2 linked regions of the Macaca fascicularis genome follow. The protein of the gene in region 2 interacts with the protein of the main gene of each other region in a pairwise test. Links are inferred from orthologs where the notes say so. Each region holds a gene or a part of one and is shown on either strand. Other genes may lie near its edges.

Evidence for each region.
Region 1: the proteins of DDIT3 (region 2) and CEBPE interact in binary tests that used the Homo sapiens proteins (3 or more experiments, as listed by UniProt). The link is inferred for Macaca fascicularis from reciprocal best matches to the Homo sapiens genes DDIT3 and CEBPE.

Annotation. Positions count from the first base shown.
Region 1 is NC_088381.1:90,872,737-90,879,974, reverse strand, and holds CEBPE (CCAAT/enhancer-binding protein epsilon), read left to right. Parts: upstream 1-2,460; 5' UTR 2,461-2,642; coding exon 2,643-3,152; intron 3,153-3,921; coding exon 3,922-4,257; 3' UTR 4,258-4,439; downstream 4,440-7,238. UniProt on the Homo sapiens protein: Transcriptional activator. C/EBP are DNA-binding proteins that recognize two different motifs: the CCAAT homology common to many promoters and the enhanced core homology common to many enhancers.
Region 2 is NC_088385.1:64,326,438-64,333,759, forward strand, and holds the start of DDIT3 (DNA damage-inducible transcript 3 protein), read right to left. Parts: upstream 4,300-7,322; 5' UTR 4,185-4,299; intron 4,114-4,184; exon of another isoform or gene 4,079-4,113; coding exon of another isoform or gene 4,016-4,078; intron 1,373-4,015; coding exon of another isoform or gene 1,331-1,372; 5' UTR 1,325-1,330; intron 634-1,324; 5' UTR 590-633; coding exon 383-589; intron 295-382; coding exon 1-294. Other genes in the region: DDIT3 upstream open reading frame protein, read right to left, coding at 1,331-1,372, 4,016-4,078. UniProt on the Homo sapiens protein: Multifunctional transcription factor in endoplasmic reticulum (ER) stress response. Plays an essential role in the response to a wide variety of cell stresses and induces cell cycle arrest and apoptosis in response to ER stress.

The sequences.
Region 1 (7,238 bases), on a different chromosome or scaffold from region 2:
CCCCACCTCCCCTTCCTGTCCAGAGCTCCCCCTACCCTACCCTGACATCCAGAGCCCTGCCTGCCCCAGCCAAACCCCTGTTACTGGGAAACACTGAGGTCAGCGTACCAGCAACGTCAGCACTAGCCGGGGAGGCCGGGGCAGAGATTTATCTCACCATGGCTAAAGCTGCTGACTTTCTCATTTCCTGCGGCTCTATTTACATACCTCCCACTTCCTCCTGCGCAGCTACTGATGCAGACTTCCCTCTCCCCATGGTGGCCAAATGAGGGCCAGGAAGGTTCTCCAAGTCACATAGCAACCCCTTCCCATCCCTTCAGCCAGAGATGAACCAGGCATCCTCCTTGGATGACCTTGGGCAGCTCAGCCTCTCAGCCTTGTTATCCTTGTTTATAAAGTAGGAATAAAAATACTGTCTGCCTTGCCTACCTTCCTGCATAACCCATAGGCAAAGAGCATGAAAAAGTGTATGTTTCAAGGATTGAAAAAGCATTAATGTATCAGAAAGCACAAGGCCTATTCATTATCATTATTTCAAAGTAGCGGAGGGGACAGAATTTCTCCTCATGGAGACAAGGCCCTGGACGCAGGACTTGCAAGCTGCTTATTCTCCCTAGAACTGCACTGCAAGACCCCATCCCAGCCAGGTCTCCTCTTCCTCCTTCCAGACCCCCCGCAGGAGCTTGCTGAGAGCCAGAGCTGTGAGAGGCTGCCCTCTGCTGTCCACCTGAGTCCGGACCACAGCAGCCCTCCAAGTCCGAAATATTGGGGCCAATATTGCCACCTGGTGGTCAACAGAAGCACTGCCACCAAACTGAGAGCTCAGCTTTGAAATGGAGAAATCTCCCTAATTCCTGACATCTGTCTCTGGGATGCACACAGATCTCCTCATACCAGGTCACTGTGCTTTCAGAGAAAGCATATCTGGCTGTGTCTCAAGTCATGCACAGACAGCATCTAGGGTAGGTGTTGGGGTAGGGAGGATGGAAGGAATATGCTAACCAGAATACACATTTTTAAAATTTTAATGTTCAATGCCACACACATCCTCTCTGCACTTGTCCCACTGGGGCCCACTCACAGTGACCCAGCCCTTGTTTGGCCCAACTTACAAAAACTTCTGGCCCCCCTGGGGCACCCAGAGTACTTGCTGGTCATAAAAGAGACAGTAACATTTCTATGTGCCCTTTCCTCCCCCCCACCCCCACCCCCCCCCCCTCCGCTGGACCTTTTGGAGATGAAATTCAACAGGTAAAAGCAGGACCTGAGCAGGTGTCTCTGAAAGGAGGCAGTTGGGAGTTCCCAAAGGAAAGAGAAAAGGGAAGAGGAGAGCCAGCACAGAACCAAGAATTGCAGATAGAGAGCCATGGGCTTCTCCTGGAGACCCTAAAACAGAGCCCCAGGAAGAGGTGATGACATAAGAGGCTTCTCAAACCTCACAAGAGGAAGTAGACCCAAGAGACACACATTGGAGATCAGAGAGCAGCCATGCAAAAGGAAAGACAGCAAACGAGCTGCAGCAAGCTCCTGAGCCCTGCAGCCCAGGGCACAGGAAACCAGAGGCAGAGCCTCAGGCCCAGGGTGAGGGGCAAAGCGCCAGCCTGAGCCTCTTGCAGCAGAGAACAGCTGGAAGAGAGAAGTGCTGGAGCCACCGGAGGATTATGACTGTCTATTCCAAGGGCAGCAGCCTGCCTGGGCCTGCAGTGCAAGGCCCAAGTCCTGACCAGGTGCTTCAACCAAGCCCAGGGAGTTAGGAACTGTGCCAGGCTGCTACAGGTAGCTGGGGCTGGAAACATACTCATATTTGGGCTATTGCACAGCCCCTGTGCAAAAACCTAGCAAATGAGCGTACTCTCTCCAGCACCATGCAGGCTCCCATGTATAGCTTATTCCTAGGACCTATCACTACTCCCCAGACCCCTCAAAAACAAACCAAAACAAAACAAAACCCTGGCCTACACTCAGAGAATGCTCTGGGAGGTGAGGCCACAAAAGAAACTGTCTCCTGGGAGTAGGTGGAGCCCAGCATCAGGGGAGAGCCAGAGGAAGGCATGTCAAGGGAGGAGCTGAGACCCAACTGAGGGTCGGCACTGGAAGAGGGCTTTCTTCACTCTAACCTGGAACCTCATTCTGCATAGAACTTTTTCACAGTTGGAGGGAGGAGGACGCTCAGAGTAGGGTGTTGCCCTTGGTGAGGATTTGGAGTCCCCTGGGCTCAGGAGGGAGTGGACAGGCATTCCCAGAAGCATCAGCTTCTGGCATCTCCAGAACCCTGGCTTGGACCCTGACCAAGGAGTGTCCCCAACTGCTGAATAGGCCAGGAGTCGCCTTTCTCTAAGGCTTACATCTCTCCCTCTGGGGTGTGTCCTGCCCCTCCCTGAGTCACCCCAAGGGGAGAGAGGGGAAAAAAGGGAAGAGAAGAGAGGCATTGACTACAGAGGAAGGAAAAGGAAGCAGAGCAGAGGGGGGAGAGAGGCCACACAGGAGTGGGTGACAGAGGAGACTGCAGAGGGCAGGTCTAGGGCAGGAGATCGAGAGAGGGCAGGCCCAGGTCAGGAGGAGGTAGAGAGAGGGCAACCCGAGCACCCCAAGGGGTGCCTCAAGAGCAGGTGGGGGCGGGGAGCCGAGGGGGCGGGCCGGCCATGTCCCACGGGACCTACTACGAGTGTGAGCCCCGGGGCGGCCAGCAGCCACTTGAGTTCTCAGGGGGCCGAGCTGGGCCCGGGGATCTGGGGGACATGTGTGAGCATGAGGCCTCCATTGACCTCTCTGCCTACATCGAGTCTGGGGAAGAGCAGCTTCTCTCCGATCTCTTTGCGGTGAAGCCAGCGCCTGAGGCCAGAGGCCTCAAGGGCCCCGGAACCCCTGCCTTCCCCCACTACTTGCCGCCTGACCCTCGGCCCTTTGCCTACCCTCCACATACCTTCGGCCCAGACAGGAAGGCGCTGGGGCCTGGCATCTACAGCAACCCAGGGAGCTACGACCCCAGGGCTGTGGCGGTGAAGGAGGAGCCCCGGGGGCCAGAGGGCAGCCGAGCTGCCAGCCGAGGCGGCTACAATCCCCTGCAGTACCAAGTGGCACACTGTGGGCAGACAGCCATGCACCTGCCCCCAACCCTGGCAGCACCCGGCCAGCCTCTGCGCGTTCTCAAGGTAAGAGCAGGTCAGCCCTCCTCCCTCCTGCCCCGGGCTGGAGAGGCTGGTGTGGACAGGACCCTGTGCCCCTGCTCACGCTGCTGAGTCTGTGCTTGGTGTTGCTCTGTGAAATGAACCCAACCCACAGTCCTCTGTGCTCACACCGCACCATGACCTCCCTTTCCTTCTCTGTGAATTCATTCCCACCCTGAATCCCCACCATGTCCCAAAGACCCTGCGGCAAGCTGGCCTACCTTGATCTCAGGCCCCCCACCACCAGCCTCTCTGCTGCTCACCATGCCCCCTCCTCTTGTTTCTCTGCCGCCTGCTTCTGTAAGAAATGTCTGCTGGTCATAGAACAGGAGACTCAAGACAGATTGAGGGAAAGTGTACTCAGAAAGTGTGAGAACATTGGCTGGGTGCAGCGGCTCATGCCTGTAATCCCAGCGCTTTGCGAGGCCAAAGCAGGACGGTCGCTTAAGGCCAGGAGTTGGAGACCAGCCTGGGCAACATAGCAAGGCTCCATCTTTACAAAAAAGAAGAAAGAAAGAAAGCGTGAGGACGTGAAAGGGAGTTTTGGTCTCAAGCAGAGAACCCTGTGCATCTGGGTCACCATCTCCCAGAAGCAGGGTGATGATAGTTTTGACCTGAGAGACAGGAGCTGGCTCTGAGTCCTGTATTCCTTCGATGCAGCAAGTGTGCCCTGGCTGCAGAGATTCTCGTCCCGCCTTCGCTCTGCCTCCTGGCCAGCCCTCACCTCTCCGTCTCTCCGTGCCTTCCCCTCCAGGCCCCTTTGGCCACTGCCGCACCGCCCTGCAGTCCCCTCCTGAAGGCGCCCTCCCCCGCTGGCCCCTTACACAAGGGCAAGAAGGCAGTGAACAAAGATAGCCTTGAGTACCGGCTGAGGCGGGAGCGCAACAACATCGCCGTGCGCAAGAGCCGGGACAAGGCCAAGAGGCGCATTTTGGAGACGCAGCAGAAGGTGCTGGAGTACATGGCAGAGAACGAGCGCCTCCGCAGCCGCGTGGAGCAGCTCACCCAGGAGCTAGACACCCTCCGCAACCTCTTCCGCCAGATCCCTGAGGCGGCCAACCTCATCAAGGGCGTGGGGGGCTGCAGCTGAGTCTGGCTGGTGGACTTTGGGCACCAGGCTCCGTGGCACGGCCTGACTCTGCGAACCCCCATCCTGCTGGGGGCCTAGAACCCTGAGACATAGACCATGGATAAATGGCAACCGGGGTGGCAAGGAAGGGCAGGACCCAGCATAATGATTATGTGGCTGAATAAAGTTGCACTGTGACTGGGTGTTGGGACTGTTGGCTCTGTGTGTGTGTGTGTGTGTGTGTGTGTGTGTGTGTGTGTGTGTGTGTGTGTGTGTGTGTGTGATGGAGGACCCTGGGGACAGAGGATGCATGTGGCTAGGTCTGCACCTCTTGTTTCCATATCCAAATGGACATGTGGAAACACAGACATGCTGTCCACAGCCAGCCCCCTACATGCTACACAACCAGACCATGTATCTGCCACTCTGCTTTTCTCTCCCTGACATCCCCATCACCCGCTTCTGTGATCTGAAGGCACATCCCCGCCCCCCGCAGGACCTGGAGCAACCTTTGTATGCTCTGCTAACAAAGATCTGTAGCTTGTAGGGAGATCCTGGCACCACACAGTCCTTCATGCCCAGGCCTGCGGCTCCCAGGTCCACCCTCTCTCACCTCGAAGTATAGGTCTGGGAGCTCCTGCCCCAGGTGACCACAGGAAAATTCCTGATGGCTCTGCCATATTTATGGTCCCTTGATCCAGCCTGCCATCTCTTCTCTCCAGTTCCGATGCCTCAGTCTACCAGATGGACACCCTCCCAATGCTGCTCCCACCTACTCATTTCCATCCTTTGTCCCTCATCCCTGGGGCTCCAGTTCCGTAAAGCTTGAGAATTGAGTGCATGGGACAGGAATCAGTTGGGAGAGACCTGGAAAGCGGATTTGTGTATGAGAACACTGGTAATGAGAAGGAGGATGACAATCTGCCTGTGCCAGGGACACCCCTCACTCAAAGCAGCATTTTCTTTGGCATTGGACTCCAGCCTAAGAGACAGATGGTACAGTAATTAAGAGCCTCAGTTTGAATCATACTCTGCTACTTACTAGCTGTGAGCCTTCAGCCATTACTTCTCTCTGTGCCTCGGTTTCCTCATCTGCAAAATGGTAGCAATATTCGTACCCACTCTGTAGTGTTATATTCATAGAAAAAGAAAACTTTGCATGTAATAAGCATATTTATGATGATTCCTCCATTTTGCTGGAACTGAAAAGACCTCTGAGATCTCATCTAAACTCATTTTGTAGGTAAGAAAACAGGCCGCAAAGAGGGGAAGGGACTTACCTGGAGTCACACAATTGTTTAGAGGCAGAACCAAAATTAGCTCCATAAAATCACAGATCTCAAGATGTGCTGGAAGAGACCTCAAGAGATCATCGGCTCTGCCCTCAGACCAGCAAGATAGGGTGAGCCACATTTTATAGATAAAGCAGTTGAGGGCCAGAGGGGGTAAGAGGCTTCTCCTGACACTCACTGAGTCCCTTTGCTGCCTCGGTACATGGTACCTCTCTCTCTACTCCGTGCGACACTCTCCTCACGGATACTCAGTTTGAGTGTCACATGAATCACATTCAGTAAAGAACAGTGCTCAACAGTATCAGGGAGCCAGGGACAGATTAAGGACTTGTTAAAGTCTCTCCTAGGCCAGTGCTGGGAAAGCCTGAGTCAGACATCAAGGAATAATTTTCTGAGAGGGCAAGAGACTGGTGTCTGGATCATCCCAGATCTCTCTCCCTTCTTCAAATCTCCAGCAGTAGAGCCCTCCCACACCTCGGGCATCTGTGTGTGACATGTCTATCTTGCCCAGGACTCAGTCCTTTTCCTGCTTTTGCCCCTGTGTCTCTCGGGCACCATCTCTCCTACCTCTGTGTCCTGGAGGCCCGTGCCCCAGGTCTGGTTTGGAGGGACAGAGCTGAACCTTCAGTGTAGGGACTGATGGGAGCTTCCTGAGTTTGGAAGGAGGGGAGGTACCAGTCTCTGTGGGCACCTGGGAGAATCCTCACACCTTCCTTTCAGCCCAGGGGGATAGGTTGCATAAGGCAGGTTTGTACAGAACATGGTAAATGACTCAACCTCCGGATTTCCTCCTCTCAGCTCAAGACCACTGTCCCTTGACGTACTTTCAAGGTTCTGGGTGATGGGACCTGGCTTGCTTCAGCATCAAGCCCAGGCTTCGTTCCCACAGCTCTGAATTGTATCTCCTCTCAGGCCCCCACTCACTCCGTCAGGTCCTCAGGGCCGGTGCCTAGTGGAGCCTTCCTGACTGGTACCCAGTCTGGAGGAGTCACATCCCCATCTCCCCACTGCGATCCCAGCGTGACGTGCAGCAGCTGAACACATCCCAATCCTTTGCGTCAGATCATATTCCAGGGGGATGAGTCAGAGCCAGAGGGCACACTTCCTGAAGGAGGCTTTCCATCTGACCTCAATTGGTTTTGGCCAACATAACTTACTCAACAAGTATTTGTTGAGTATCTTTTCTGGAAATGAGACAAGTTCTCAGCAGGAGTAGGAAGAAAAAGTCAATAAACAAGTGTGTTGAATGTCTTCCTTTGTCCCTCCAGAACCCTCTCCACCCTTCATCACCCTACACAGTCCCCAGGTGGATGCCTCCCTACATCAACCAGCTTCTCAGGGGGTGCGGGTGAGACTGGCAGGAGGAGAGTGATGGGAGCCCCCTGCTGACCGGCGCTCTCCACAGTCCCTCCCAGAGGATTCCAGGCCCTCAGGCCCCCATACTGGGCTAGCCCAGGGGACTTCACCACTCCAGGAACTTTCCCCGGATACTATTGGTTCACATCTTCATAAAGCACCTTAATTAACTTCTCCTGCTTACTCAATTTGAATAGCCCATTGGGGAAACCAAATAAACCAACAGATAGGGAGGCTATTTTAGCTGGGGTGGCCAGGAAAGGTCTCTCTGAGGAAATGACATTTCAACTGAAACTTGAAAAAATTTGAGAAGGAGGCAGGTATGTCTTGAGAGTAAGGGTGAACAGAGGGAAG
Region 2 (7,322 bases):
TTCCTGCTTGAGCCGTTCATTCTCTTCAGCTAGCTGTGCCACTTTCCTTTCATTCTCCTGTTCTTTCTCCTTCATGCGCTGCTTTCCAGCCCGGGCTGGGGAATGGCCACTCTGTTTCCGTTTCCTGGTTCTCCCTTGGTCTTCCTCCTCTTCCTCCTGAGCCAGGGAGCTCTGACTGGAATCTGGAGAGCGAGGGCTCTGGGAGGTGGTTGTGACCTCTGCTGGTTCTGGCTCCTCCTCAGTCAGCCAAGCCAGCGAAGCAGGGTCAAGAGTGGTAAAGGTTTTTGATTCTTCCTTCAAGGAAATGAAGAAAGGGAACGTAGATATTAATTGAGAAGGAAAAGATAACATCCCCCTTTAGCTTTAGGCCTAGCATTCTTACCTCTTCATTTCCAGGAGGTGAGACATAGGTACCCCCATTTTCGTCTGAAGACAGGACCTCTTGCAGGTCCTCATACCAGGCTTCCAGCTCCCAGCTGGACAGTGTCCCGAAGGAGAAAGGCAATGACTCAGCTGCCATCTCTGCAGTTGGATCAGTCTGGAAAAGCACATTTGCAGGGTAATGGGGAGTGGCTGGAACAAGCTCCATGTAGCAAACAGTCTATGCCACAGGTTGGCAAGCTGGTCTGATGCCTGTTTTTGTAGGTAAAGTTGTATTGGAATACAACCACATCTGTTTATTTACATACTGTTTATGGCTGCTTTGGTGCTACAGTGGCAGAGATGAAGAGTCACGCTAGAGACCATAGGGCTCTTAACATCTAAAATATTTATTATCCTGCCCTTTAAAATTTATCAACTCCTAGTTTATATTAATATTCCCTCCTTGCTTTTGCCCAGGACTTGAAGAAGCAAAGTGCCTGGATATCCATGCTTAGGGGATCTGGAGGACTAGTCAAATTCCTGTCCCCATCAAGGTTAGGCTGAGCTGAAGGACTATTTCCCTGAGCTCCCCACACAGGAGAAGGGAGCACAAATGACCTGGTAATTGCTCCTGGAAACTATCAATAGAGTTTGCAAGTGGGACTGAAGACTAGTGAAAGTTTAACCCTGACTGAAGACTGGTAAGGCAAACCAGTTGTCTTTGTTGGGGCTTTCTTTGAGGACCATCTTTCCATTAGGACATTCTTTAAGAAAAGTGGTTTGCTCACCTTGTAGGAGCAAGCCAGGAGAATAGACAGCCTGATAGCAAAAGCTTGCTCAGATTCAAACCCTCCTTTCCCACCTTCTCTAGGTCTTTTCATAATCTCTTAGGGTCTCAGCAAAAGGAGGCTAAGCAGCATCTCTTAGGACTTGGTTTTGGGAAAGGGTAGGTTAAGTTTACCTGCTTTCAGGTGTGGTGATGTATGAAGATACACTTCCTTCTTGAACACTGTAGGCAACAAAGAGAAATGTTAGCCATTTTTGGAAGGGGGAGAGGCAACTTATTTTTTTCTTTTCTTTTGAGACGGAGTCTCTGTTGCCAGGCTGGAGTGCAGTGGCGCAATCTCGGCTCACTGCAACCTCTGCCTCCAGGGTCAAGCGATTCTTCTGCCTCAACCTCCCAAGTAGCTGGGACTACAGGTGCATACCACCGTGCCCAGCTAATTTTTGTGTTTTTAGTAGAGATGGGGTTTCACTGTGTTGGCCAGGATGGTCTCCATCTCTTGACCTTGTGATCTACTCGCCTCCCAAAGTGCTGGGATTATAGGCGTGAACCACCATGCTGGGCCCTTATTTTTCTTTTATCTCCAGCCTCCTACTGGTCCGTCCTTACTTCTGGTCTTGTGGGGTATGCATACTTGGTCCCTGTAGCCATTTCCAAGGGCAGAAGAGGGCCTGACTTTATTTTTAGTTGCTGACATTTGTAGTCCTGGTTACATAATAGCAAAGTTCTGGCCAACTCAGCTTTCTCTAAATTCAAGGCAGGCCTTAAACCTGCCAGGGTAAAGACTAAACTATAGGGAAGGGAACAAATCGTAGCATTTTCCTAACTCCATTCCCACACTGACATCCTGTAGCATTTTCCTAACTCCATTCCCACACTGACATCCTCCAAATGTGTATTTCCAGTCTGGACCTCTTCCAGAACTTCCGACTCTGCTGTCTACTGCCTACTTGCCATTTCTTTTTCAATGTCTAATAGGTACCTAAGACTATGTGCAAACTTGTTGATTTTCCCCTTCCAAGGTCATCCCCATCTCAGATGACAACTCTAGTTGCTTAAGCTAAAAACCTTGGTATCATCCTTCATTCCTCTCACACCCTGCAATCCAAAGTACTAGCAAATTTTAACTTTTTTTTTTTTTTTTTTTGAGACGGGTCTCCCTCTTTTTGCCCAGGCTAGAGGGCAGTGGCACAATCTCCGCTCTGCAACCTTTGCCTCCTGGGTTCAAGCGATTCTCCTGCCTCAGCCTCCTGAGTAGCTGGGATTACAGGCATGCACTACCATGCCTGGCTGATTTTTGTATTTTTAGTAAAGATGGGGTTTCACGTTGGCCAGGCTGGTCTTGAACTCCTGACTTCGTGTGATCCACTCCTCTGGTCTCCTAAAGTGCTGGGATTACAGGCATGAGCCACCATGCCCGGCCCTTAACTCATTCTTTAAAAATGAGTTTTTAAAACTTTGCTTAGAAGAATTTAAACACCTCTAATTCCATTCTTTCCAATCTAGATCAATTCACCACCATCTCTCAATTACTGCAGAAACTTCCTGATTGCAGAAGGTCTTCCCATTTCTTCTCTTGCCACCCCTCCGTAAGTCTATTCACCATACAGCAGCCTGAGTGAACCTTTTAAAACAGGTCATTCCTCTGCTCAAAACTCTCCAGTGACTTCCTATGTCATGTCAGGGAAGTCATTGGAGGGTTTTGAGAGGAGGAATTACCTAAGGTAATTCCTGACCACCTGATGTAACACAGTAACCTCCATCCTGAACATTCTCCATTCCTTTCTCTGCTTTAGCTTTCTCCATGGCACTTATATTTTGTTTACTGTAGGCCTCCCACTGAGATGATTTTTTCCTCTTGCTCACGGATGTTCCCTGAGCCCCAAACTGTTTGGCACACAGTAGGTCCTCATTAAGTATTTGTTAAGAATGAATGAATTCTCCCCAATCTCTCTTATAGGGAAGGGGCAGACGCAGAGTGGCAGCTGCCGATCCCTAGGGACTGGAGATGCAATATTGCCCGAAATATTTCTCTGCAGGGCTGTCTTCCCTGGGGAACCCTCCCTTGCCTTCCAGTGCGTGGGACTTGGCTTTCATCAGCAGTGGAGCCTCAGGTCAGAAGGCTGCAGAGCCAAACGGGGCTGGCCTGATGCAATGGTTACACAGAGATTAGCTGGGAGACAGGACCGGGTTAAAGAGGCAGGGACTAATCCCGAGGGAAGGACGATACCCTGGGGAGACCCCAAATGGCCTCCTACACTTAAGAGATCCAGGCTGCTCTCTTGTGCGGGAGGCCCAGAGACCTCTACGGCAAAGGGAAAACACACCGCTCCCTGTCCATCGGCACCCCTCCCAAAGGCTTGTGTCAAGGTTCCCCTTTCAGCCCTGCAGGGTCCAGTAGCCCCAGCTACCGAGGTGGCCATGCTGACACCAGAGACGCTGAGACTGAGACAGGATTGGGGGTAGGGTAGGGAGAAGGCCGATGGTGGCGAACGGGCGGAAACGGTTTGAGCGATGGTAACTCAGTCTTAGAGCGGGGGTGTGTCCTGCTGCCTCCCCGCGGACAGGCCTAACGAGGTGGCCTGAAGTTGGCTACGGGAGAGAATGAATTTCCCTAGGGCAGCCGAGGTCCCTTTGCCCAGCAGCACAGAGCAGGGCCCATGCTCCGGCTCCGGGCAGGGGTGGAGAGACGCTGTCGTCCGAAGCAATGGGGGTTTGTAAGCACCACCCCAGAATAAGGGACTCTCCCCATTCCTCTCTCGGACGGTCCCTGACTTCACTGTGGAGGCGTGAGGCCAATCCTAAAGAGCGGATGCCCCAACTCTGAGGAGACGGGAGGGCAAAGGGCAGATGGGAGTCAGTACTCGCCTCTCTCCTCAGGTTCCAGCTCTGATTTTGGCTCTGTCGCTGCCACCCGCTCATCTTCAACATGATACGCTCAGTGCCTTAGACTTAAGCCTCTGACCTCGGGAGCGCCTAGCTGTAATCTTTTACCATGGCCTTGCCCTCCTCTCAGGGGCGGGACCCCAAAACCTACCAATCAGAAAGTGGCACGCCGGCATTGGCCCCGCCTCGTCCCTCGTATCCGCCACTCAGGAGCTCCGCAGAACCGCCCCCGTCGCTCCCTCTCGCTAGGGGGTCGACGTAGTGTCGGACCCGGAAGTGGCTTTGGGTCACGAGGCTTCACGGAGGCGGTGGGTGAGTCATGCGCGCGCGCGGAGGGGAGTGTAGCGGGGGGAGGGGAGGAAAGGGGGGCGGGGATGATGCAATGTTTGGCAACTGGTGTCTGCACGCGCACGCGCAGGGGACTACGAGGGTGGTGGGAGGTGCAGAGGGTGGGGGAAAGGAGAGAGGGCGGGGCGCCAGCTCCCGGCGCCCAACGGCCCCAACGGCTATCAGCGTTGGCCGTCCGTAGTCGGTCGTGTGGAGCCTCTTTGCCGCTTGTCTCCCCCAGAAGCTGCTGTTCCGCCCACCGAGCTTTAGCCGGCGTTTTACCTCCACTATAAGGGACTCCCATTTTCCTTGGCCCCTCCCAGCTAATGGTCATATAGGCCTTTTGAACTTTTCCTTTGAAAGTTGGTATCCATCCACTGGGATTGTCGACATCTCGAGAGTCTTAGAGAGGTCTCCGGGCTCGGTGACTCATGCCTATAATCCCAGCACTTTGGGAGGCTGAGGAGAGCGGATCACTTCAGGTCAGGAGTTCCAGATCAGCCTGACCAACATGGTGAAACCCCGTCTCTACTAAAAATACAAAAATTAGCCGGGTGTGGTGATGCGCGCCTGTAATCCCAGCTACTCTGGAGGCTGAGGCAGGAGAATCGCTTGAACCCTGGTGGCGTATGTTGCAGTGACCGAGATCGCGCCACTGCACTCCAGCCTGGGTGACAGAGCGAGACTACGTTTCACCGAAAACGAAAAACAAATAAAAAAAACCGGGGTCGTCTAGCCCCGTAAATCTCCCAAAAGGGGCCGAGGTACTGGAATCCCTTGGTAGTCATTTTCCGCTTCTCTCACAACAGCGCCCTTGACTTTTACCTTGGAGTTGCTAAGCCCTCAGCCTGCCAGAAGTCATGTATTTTACCCAGTGGACCCAATTCTGTTTGGCCACCTATTTTCCCCCACTATACTCTTACGGCTTTCTCCAATACCAAGACCCTCTCTTGCTGTACCAGACAGCAAGTCCTGTGACTCCCTGCTGTGAGGAGCGCGGCACAGGCCTGCCTCCTAGGTGTTCGGGTCGAGATTTACAGCGGAGTCTCATCCTGGGACGTGTAAGTGCACTTCAGCGCAGGACCGCCGTGGACTGGGGAGACCGGGGCCGCGATTTTAGCCTCAACTCCCCCTCACTTACCAAGGGATCTTACCGTCCTTGTTTGTAAATCAACGAGTTGTAAGGGTAAAATGAGAACCATGAACTTGGAGGCAACTTGAACAAAAGTAAAACGCACCACGCAGAATGCAAAGTATTTTTCTTGTGCCTTGAAAACAGAGGCCATGTGGTGGCCTGTTACATATCCTGTCATACCCTCATGGGGGCAGCCAGAGTTTAAGTAGAAACTGTCACAAGGCCGGTTGTGACTGGAGTGGTGTTTCTGTGACAGGTCTTTGGTTAGGCTGCTCCGTTGCTCCACACCTCCATTTCCCCTCTGAAAATGGGGGTGGTGTGGGGGGTGGACCAGATGGTCTCTCCTGGCCTAAAGACAGACCAGGTTGTCAGTGACAGGCAGAGGTCATGTGACTTGACAGGCCGAGGTCGTGTTGTGACATGTTGACCTGGAGAGGCGGGTCAAGTCCCAGCACACTACCCGGGAAGCCTTTGGGGCGGGGCAGGGCAAGTCGCGACTTTCATCTTTCGGGCCTGGCCCCTCCCGGACCTGGCATTCCTGGCTCCCGCAACAGACTGTGGCTTTGGAAGGGGCCCCTCCCCGAGGAGGGCTGGGATTGGCCACCAGTGGCCTGGGGAGAGGCGCAGATCCTTCCGCGGAGGGAGGGGGGCCGCGTGGGGTGTTTGTTCTCTTGGGGATTAATGGGGGGTTGTGGGGGAGGGGTAGGCGCGCTCCCGCATGCGCACTGCGGCCCCTCCAGTTGGCTCGTCGCTGTCCGCTGGGCGGGGGCCCGGCCCCGCCCCTCTCCCGGCCGGGCAGCGGCGGAGGCGGCGGTGGCTGCGGCGGTGGCTGCGGCAGCGACGGCGGCGGCGGCGACAGCGGCAGCAGCCTGCGCAGTGCCTTCTGGGAACGGAATCCCCAGGGCTGCCCCTGGCCCCCATGGCGCATGCGCGGGAGGCCGCTCGGTGATCCGCGGCGGCGGCAGCGGCGCTTCCTGCTAGGACCGGCCGGGGCCGTACCGGAGGCTCGGGCTCCACCGACCCTCCTCCCACCCCCTCCCACTCACTCTCTGGGCCGCGACTGCGCAGGGCGGGGCCGGCCGAACCATGGGCCGCGGTGAGTGCGGGGCCCGGCCCCCCCACCCCGCCCCTCCCCCTCCCCTCCCCTCCTGTCCCTACCCTCTGCCCCCTCCGCGTCCTCTCGGCCCCTTTCCCCGGCCCCATCCCCACTCCCCCGCCCTCACCTGCCCCCGCCGCTTCTCCCTCTCACTGCCTGACTTCTGCCTTCTTCACCGCCCTCCCCTCAGTGCTTCGCCCACCCTCCGCCCGCCCTCTCCCCAAGTTCCTTCCTACTTCGTGCGCCTTCCCCTCCTCCTCAAGCTGAGGGAAGCAGTCTGGGTGACAGGGCGCCTTGTTATGAGAGGGAAAGTTTGGAAGCCGCCAGTGTGGGGTGGGAGCGATGGTGAGTCTGGGGAGGATACCTGCAGATTGGAGGGGCTTCCCCTCCTATCGGAGGATAGGCTCTCTTGGAGATATCGGAGAACAGGCTCTTTTGGAGTCAGTGGGATAGGAGGTACTGAATCTCTTTGCCTTAGGCTTGAGGGAAAATCAGGAGCTTCTCAGGATCCTGGGAAAAGACTGAGCTGTGATCCTCACCTTTTAAGACCCGAATGAACTAGATCAGCGATTGTCTGATGGAGCAGGCATGGGGGGAGTTCTGCTGGTACCACCCCAGCGGGCAGTTGGGCAATTGCCTGGTGACCTGTGGGGCAATCTGTACTTTTTATATCATCTTCCTGGGTAGGGAACGACAGGAGCCAGACACTCTGGGAAACTTCCTAGTGGCCT